2 linked regions of the Coturnix japonica genome follow. The protein of the gene in region 1 interacts with the protein of each later gene in a biochemical or structural test. Links are inferred from orthologs where the notes say so. Each region holds a gene or a part of one and is shown in the gene's direction. Other genes may lie near its edges.

Region 1 (3,681 bases):
GGCTACTGCTAAGTTGTGCTTGTAATTAAGCTTAAGTATTACATAATAAGTTATAACATTAGAATGTGATGTATTATAACTTATTATATATAATAACCTGGATTGATTCACGTGGGCCCTGCTGCCTTGTGCTGAAGCAGGTTTTCTGCTTTCTTCTCAGATGTGTGATGGATGATGACAATGAAGTAAGAGACAGAGCCACGTTCTACCTGAATGTTCTGGAGCAAAAGCAGAAAGCCCTCAATGCTGGCTACATCCTGAACGGTAATACAGAAAGTCCCCAAAGCAAGACTGCACCTCTCCTGGTTTAATACATGCCAAAGAGATGGCATTATCTGCGGTCTCAGGGACTTGTTCCTTCTGTCCCTAGGTTTAACAGTGTCCATCCCTGGCCTGGAGAGGGCTCTACACCAGTATACTCTGGAACCCTCTGAAAAACCCTTTGATTTGAAATCTGTTCCTTTGGCAACAGCTCCAATCATCGAGCAAAGAGCAGGTGAGAATCGGTCTGTTGTGTGCTGATCTAAATTGCTGATAGTTCCCTGGCAGATCCAGCCCTTGATCCAGCACTGGCCTTGCTGGGAATTGCTGAGATCCATCCTCATCGAATTCTGTGGGATTATATCTTCTGTAAAGACAAAGGCCAGCAAATCTTGTTACTCCCACTTTAGTGTTTCAGTTAGTCCAGCTGCTAATAATAGTAATCGTTTGAATTGCAGTAGCTTCAGTGAGGATTACCAGAGGTATTTAGGAAGCTAAAAATGGGTGCCTGCTCTATGGCAAGATGAGAAATGAGCTCTCCTTTGCTTAGTCGATGATCTGGTTTCTGATTTAGTTACTATTCCTGGTTGTATTTGATTGTTTCATTGTTCTGTTTATTTTCTCTTGCAGAAAATGCCCCTGTTGCTGTAGCCAAACAGCCAGAGAAAGTGGCAGCAACACGGCAAGAAATATTCCAAGGTAAAGTGATGCAAGGCCTCTCTTACCCCTGTACATGAGAACTGTGTAGCCTCTTCTAGCTGAGCCTGCCTGTCCACTCCACTTTTTCCCTGTCTCCCCTCAAAGAGTGGCGTGGGCATCCGAATCAGTTGTTTGCTTTTGGGGATGCTTGCAGTAGATGTGGGCAGTTGGCAGATGTGTGCTAAAGGAAGATGAGACTGCCTTTAGTTTTAGAAGTTCCTAGCAAATGCTGGGCTGCTCAATGGGTGACTATTTGCTGCAGCAGCTTCCAGCTATTTAACTGAAGGCTTTGAGAAAGTTAACACTTTTCGGTGGCTGGGGAAAGCAATTGTTTCTACATCTTCTGTTTCAGAGCAACTGGGAGCGATCCCAGAGTTCCGGGGACTGGGCCCGCTCTTCAAGTCTTCCCCAGAACCTGTTGCCCTAACAGAGCTGGAAACAGAGTATGTGGTTCGTTGCACCAAGCACACATTTGTCAGCCACATGGTGTTCCAGGTGAGTAGCTATGGCATGTGGTGCCAAAAGATGACTGGAAAATAAACTCCTGACCAGTAAAAACTTCACTGCAAAGAAATAGCTCAAGGATATCTGTGTTCAAAGCTCATTGTGTAGTGGGTCCTTAGGTTCTCACCCAGAGCAGAAGAGCCTTGGGAAGAAAAGATAAATTAGTGTGCATGTGGTTTTGACTGAACAATGCATATGTGTGCAATCAAAGTGACAATGGGATAGGCACTAGGTGGGGCTGTTCTCATGGAAGAGCTGGCAAAGGAAGCTGTGTTATTTCCTCAGGGTCCCCAGGTGCATGTTTTGAACACAAAAGAGTGAAGCCTGTCGTATCTGGGAGGCTGAAAATGTGACCTGACAGGATGGGAGAGGGTTCTTAATTACCTGCATTTTGTTTTAGCCTATTTATTATAGGTGCTTATTTTTTTGATCCAGCCTTAGCTGGATCACCCTCCTGCTGCAAGGGAGTTGTTCAAGCAAGGCACCAGCCTCTCTACTTGGCCCTCAGGGAGTTCAAGCAAGTCTTGTGCTACCCTGTGAGCAGCAGGGTTTTGTTTCTTTCTCAAAAGCTCAGAACTGCTCACACAGTCCTCAGAGGAGTTAATCTTTGTTTCTATTGTCCACTTGCCAGAAACAACTGTATAAAGTTGAGTGATTTGTCACTGCATTCAGTTCCAAGTATAACTATCAGGTTTAGATCTGCTGAAATCACTGTCTTGTTTCCTTAAAAATATGTGTATATAATATAAAAACAAGTTAGTGGAGAACTGGAGTCCTCTGAAAGTTTTTAGCTTCTCCCCTAAAACATTTGGATGCCAGTTCCACTGAGACTAAATGGAAGCATGAACCCTGTGATAGCTGCACTCCCTGCTGAGACAGAGGCACTTCACAAGTTAACACCATGCTCCCACTGTGCGTGAAGTGAATCTGCTCTTACATCTAGAGCTGAGAGCTTCAAGCTGTCTTTGTTCTCTCCTTCCCTGCTTAGTTTGACTGTACCAACACCCTGAACGATCAGATCCTGGAGAATGTCACTGTGCAGATGGAGCCAACAGAGGGGTATGAGGTCATTGGCTACATCCCTGCCAAAAGCCTGGTGTACAACCAGCCAGGCACCTGCTACACGCTGGTGGCACTGTCTGAAGAGGATCCAACAGCAGGTAAACAGTTTGTGCTCTGTTTTCCATGATATTCCCCCAAATTAAGCATACCGTATTGCTTACGCCCACATGCATTCTACCTTGCAGATATTTATAGACTGTGTGTGGGTGCATCCCTGAGTGATGCCAAGCATGACTTCTCCTTGCTGCTTGAGGGCTGGCTGTCAGGCCTCCCTTCTCCTCCTGGTTCCCTTGTGTTAAAACACTGTTGGGCTGTGGCAACTGGCAGATGAGCACTCAGATCTCTGCTGAAATGTCTTTGTTGCACCCTGGTGTGTCCTTTAGCCTGCTCTTAGCACACGGGGAGGCGAGTAGCTGTCTGCTTTGCTATGATTTGCCATGAGGGCACAGAGTACTCAAGGAGCATTTCAGACAAATGGCCAGAATTCCAGGGCATTCCCTTGTTTGTCACTGTCAGAACATAAACCAGGCCCAGTCTGTGCTTTGATTGCTGGCTTGTTCTGAGGCTGCTCACCTGTGTGCTGCTGCCCTTCATGCAGCAGTGCCTGCCTTCAGAGATGAGTCACTGCTTCCTCTCCCAGCTGAACGATATTAATCATCTGCTGTGCTGCAGTGCAAGGTGGTTTCATTTCCAAGGTGTATGAACTGATCCCTAGATAAGGGTCTCACCTCCTTCACAAGAGGTTGATGGGACACGCTTAGTTTGTATTCCCAACACAACTTGATATTCATGAGTAACAGGACTTGATCTGAAGATTATTGTGCAGCCATCGGGAGTCTGTATTTATCACTGTTTGCTGGCCCTAGCATTACAAATAAGTACTTTGTCCTTGAGAGAAAGAAGCTGTCAGCACACTTTCTAGGTCATGTGCTAAGCCTGTGCTGCTGACTGGGAGGGGGAGAACCCACCTGCCCCAAGTTTCCCAGCCCTGTTCTCCTGCAGAGGAATGGATCTGGTGGTAATGTGAGCTTTGCTTTTGCCTCCCCTGCCTGCAGTGGCCTGCACATTCAGCTGCATGATGAAATTCACTGTCAAGGACTGCGATCCAAACACGGGTGAAACAGACGACGAGGGTTACGAGGATGAATATGTGGT
Region 2 (3,814 bases), on another chromosome or scaffold:
CTGTGGTACCCTCTGGGGAGTTCATTAGGTGCTCAGATAGGAAAACAGGAGTGTTTCCTGAAAATCATGTTAGGTGTATAGCCTTTCTGTATGGTATAGAAATGGAATATGGCTGTCATTATTCTGTCCGTGCAGTCTGAATTGTCCTCTGATACATCTGATGGATGTTGGCACCCAGACCTCGTGTAACTCAGGGCTGCACTGGTCATTCATTTCTAGAGAGGTAGATGTGCCTTTCGCCATCTCATCTTGTGGGGAATCACTCTTTCTTGTCCCATAAGGCTTCTCTGTATTTGTTACTATGGGAATTAATAATTTTTGCTTGCAAAACGAAGGCAGTAGTTGACACTTCATAGATCCAGAGTTCCTAAATGTTGTCTGTATTCAGATGTCATAAGAGGAAAAGAAATCAGTGTGGTTTTCAGTTTGGGGTTGGGTTTCTTTTTGTTGTTATGTTTCTTTTTGTCCGTTTTCTATATTTGTTTTAACGTAACAGTCAGTGATTGCCTGAGATGCACTCTGTCAGCTCACTGAGGATGAGTAGGAGAGGATTTGATGTAGTTGCCAGGAAGTAGGAAAAGTGTGAAAAGCAAAGTATCTGATCCAAAAGGGAGGCTCAGAGAACACTTCTCGTGCTGCCTAAACTCAGTAGTGTGAGCCTACAGCAATGAAACGCTGCATTTCTTACCCTTGTTATCTCTCTTACAGATAACTGACTCAGCGGGGCACATCCTGTATGCTAAAGAGGATGCCACCAAGGGCAAGTTTGCCTTCACCACTGAAGACTATGACATGTTTGAGGCCTGCTTTGAGAGCAAGCTTCCTGTGGGTAAGTGAAAGAACCATTGGCTGCCTTCACCTTCTGATGAAGTTTGTGTAGATGTGGATGTTTGGATTAGTGGTATGTATAAAGTCACTCTGAGCATAGTCTACAGAACATGTTGACTTCTAAAGCCGTGTTTCATGAGTTTGTGTGTATTTTCTGCAGTGCAGAATATCTGCTGTCTGTGTTGCATTTGGAAGTTAAGTATTCCTCTGTGGCTGTTGTATAGAGTGCTCAGGTTTCTTCTGTTACAGGCAGAAGAAAGGGGAATTGTGTGTTCCTCCTACACAGGTTACCACAGTTGCTATGAATGGTGGTAGCAAGGAGCAAAACGCACCTCTCTTGTTCTTTTCGTGGTTCTTGCCATCCTGCAGTCAAGCAAAGACAAAGCAGAATACCCTCGTCTCCAGGACGTAGCTTTTCTGTCCTGTTGACCCACTCCCCTCCTTTGGAGGAATGTAATCTCAATAGAATGAGTACTTTGCAGTGGTCCTGTTAGGATAGCAACTGTTTTCTGGAGTTCCTGTGTGTGTACAAAAGAACATGGCCTTAGTTTGCACCCATAACTGCCGAGCGGTCAGTAAAGGGAAGAGGAAATGAGCAGGACGTCAGTATTGCCTTTGTGCTGCAGGGATGGTTGCCTAACGAGCACTGAGGCTCGTTTCCTTTGAGCATGACGCATGTGCTGCTTTGAGTGGCTGGGCTCAACTTCAGGACAGATGTGCTGAAAGCAGCTGACATAGGCTCCAGTCTCCTTAGCTTTGAGTAAGTATGTGCAAGATTGTAGGTGCTTGCATCTTCCCCCAGTCACTGTCAGAGTTCTGCTCCCTGGAGCCACTTCTCTCATGTCTTATCTTGGAAGATCTCAAAGTTCTTTATGGAGCAGTCACTAGCAGCATTCCTCCTGTCTCTTGAAATGCAGTATGTATTTTGCTGTTGTGTTCCATTTATAATATGCAAATAGTTTGCAAACTGAAGAGAACTTTTCAGAAACAGAAAGGTATCTTTATTAAGAGGCATCTGGCTTGTAGCACCTCTTCTATCATGTTTGTCAGATAAAACTGACTCTAAATGCTCAGGGTTCTGCTTTTATTTCACTGTGAAGATAGGGCTTCTGAATGCTCCTTAACGCATCAAGACATGCAGGTACTAGTGACTCATGTGGGAGAGTCGCTCCTGCTCTGTACTGTCCAACACCTGGGTGTTTGGGAGGTCCCCAGACAGACCAATAAATCCTTTCTAGCTTCTATGGAATCACACAATGAAGTGGGAAAAGCTTCTTTCTTTAGCTGTGTCTAGACTCTTTATTTTAGTGTTTGTGACCAGGGGTTTCTTGCCTAGACCGGATAAAATATTTCTAAGTCCAGCTTCTACTTGGTGACCACTGGGGGATCAGAATGCCAAAATCTAGAGCTGTTCAATTCAGCAGCTGGATCCTCTTCCAAAGGCTTTCTCTTTAGGTCCCTCTGAGCTACTGGTTTCTTTTTTGGACCTGGTGGAGGCCATAATCCTTGCTAGTGATACATACTGTATGATGGAGATCTCCCGATTTTCCATGCCTGTGTTGGATATAACAAAAATGCTGAGGACAGTGTGGTGGCACTGTAAGGCCTGACCATCTGCAGGACTTGTTTAAGTTGATTAGGAGGAGGAAGTAGCAGTGTTACAAGTACCTTGTTCCTTTATAATGTGAGCAAAGGAATGAGGCGGCTGACTGAGATGTCTCTTCTCCCTGTGTTTCTTTTCAAAAGCTTTTATTTTTTCGTAGTTTCTTCAAGTAGGCAATCAGGACTTTTAGTGCTCCAGCTAAGGAGGATGTTGGTGGAGTACTGGAAGAGGAGAACTGTTGATAGAGGAAGCCTGGAGCCGTTGGGCCCTGAAGGATCTAAGCAACTGGGATTTCTCAATCCTTAACCACAGAAATAAGGAAGAGGAAGTGAGAAGGAGATGCTGTATAGAAGGTACATATTATGAGAGTGCAGGAGGTCTGAGGGTGCTTCTTGAATCCAGACTTACCCTCTTCTGGTTTAAAACCATTGCTCCTTGTCCTGTCACTACGCTTCAGGGCAAAGAGGCCTTCTCCATCTTTAATTTTTTGTTCATTCTGTAATCTTTAGTTTCCTGACCTCACAGTTATGACTTACTTATTCTACCATTTCTCTGCAAAACATTTTTTACATCCAGTTTGACTATCTTGTTCATCCTTTGACTTGGTACATTAGGAACTTCCTTAGTCTCCCAGGAAGCAGCTCTGTGCTTGTTTGAGATGGCCACTTGAGGACCCTGAAGTGGGAGATGTGGGTATCAGTTGGATAGTTTAGTTCAAGACCTCTGATAGTTACTGTTTGTTTTTCCTTTGCTCCTGATCCTGCTTTGCTCTGGTGAGCTCCAGCTGCAGGAGGAGCAGGGAGTTACTGAGGATCTGATGAGCTTAAAGGAAGCTTCTTGTTGTGCCTTATACTCCGATCACTTCTAGAAGTGCAGCTTCAGTTTTTCCAGGGCAATCCCTGACAATGCAGAATGTCTCCTTTCCATCCCTCTGCACCCAGCAGCTCTCATTTTATCTGCTTGCTTTCTGCTTCTTGGCATCTTTTCCTTCCAGCCTGACAACTGAACCCTTCCAGTTCTGTTCTCCTGCTTGCTGGCCTTTTCATCTTTCTCATCCCTTCCTGGAAGCTCCAGCTGTTCACTCAAGTTGCTGTAATTTAAACATAAAAAAACCCCTCTCACTGAACTGTGTGCTTTGAATCTTTTTTCTGCAGCTACTGTTGGCCACCCTGCCTAGAGACTCCAGGCATGCTGATATAAGGCATAGGTAGTCAACGCTTGTTGGCTGGAGAGAGGAGCACTGGGTGGTTGTAGTCATCGTATCTGCTAAAGAACAGTGCTGGGTTTTAAGTTTGTTCTTGCAGTAACTGACCTTGAATAAGAAAACTGAAAAGTTCCATCCTACTCCTAGTTTATCCATTAGTCTCTTTATATAGCTGAGTT

What was found.
Region 2: the proteins of COPG1 (region 1) and TMED10 form a complex in vitro, tested with the Homo sapiens proteins (2 studies listed by BioGRID). The link is inferred for Coturnix japonica from reciprocal best matches to the Homo sapiens genes COPG1 and TMED10.

Annotation. Positions count from the first base shown.
Region 1 is NC_029527.1:6,775,178-6,778,858, forward strand, and holds part of COPG1 (coatomer subunit gamma-1), read left to right. Parts: intron 1-160; coding exon 161-264; intron 265-370; coding exon 371-496; intron 497-891; coding exon 892-960; intron 961-1,312; coding exon 1,313-1,455; intron 1,456-2,452; coding exon 2,453-2,624; intron 2,625-3,581; coding exon 3,582-3,679; intron 3,680-3,681. UniProt on the Homo sapiens protein: The coatomer is a cytosolic protein complex that binds to dilysine motifs and reversibly associates with Golgi non-clathrin-coated vesicles, which further mediate biosynthetic protein transport from the ER, via the Golgi up to the trans Golgi network.
Region 2 is NC_029520.1:34,645,109-34,648,922, reverse strand, and holds part of TMED10 (transmembrane emp24 domain-containing protein 10), read left to right. Parts: intron 1-708; coding exon 709-829; intron 830-3,814. UniProt on the Homo sapiens protein: Cargo receptor involved in protein vesicular trafficking and quality control in the endoplasmic reticulum (ER) and Golgi.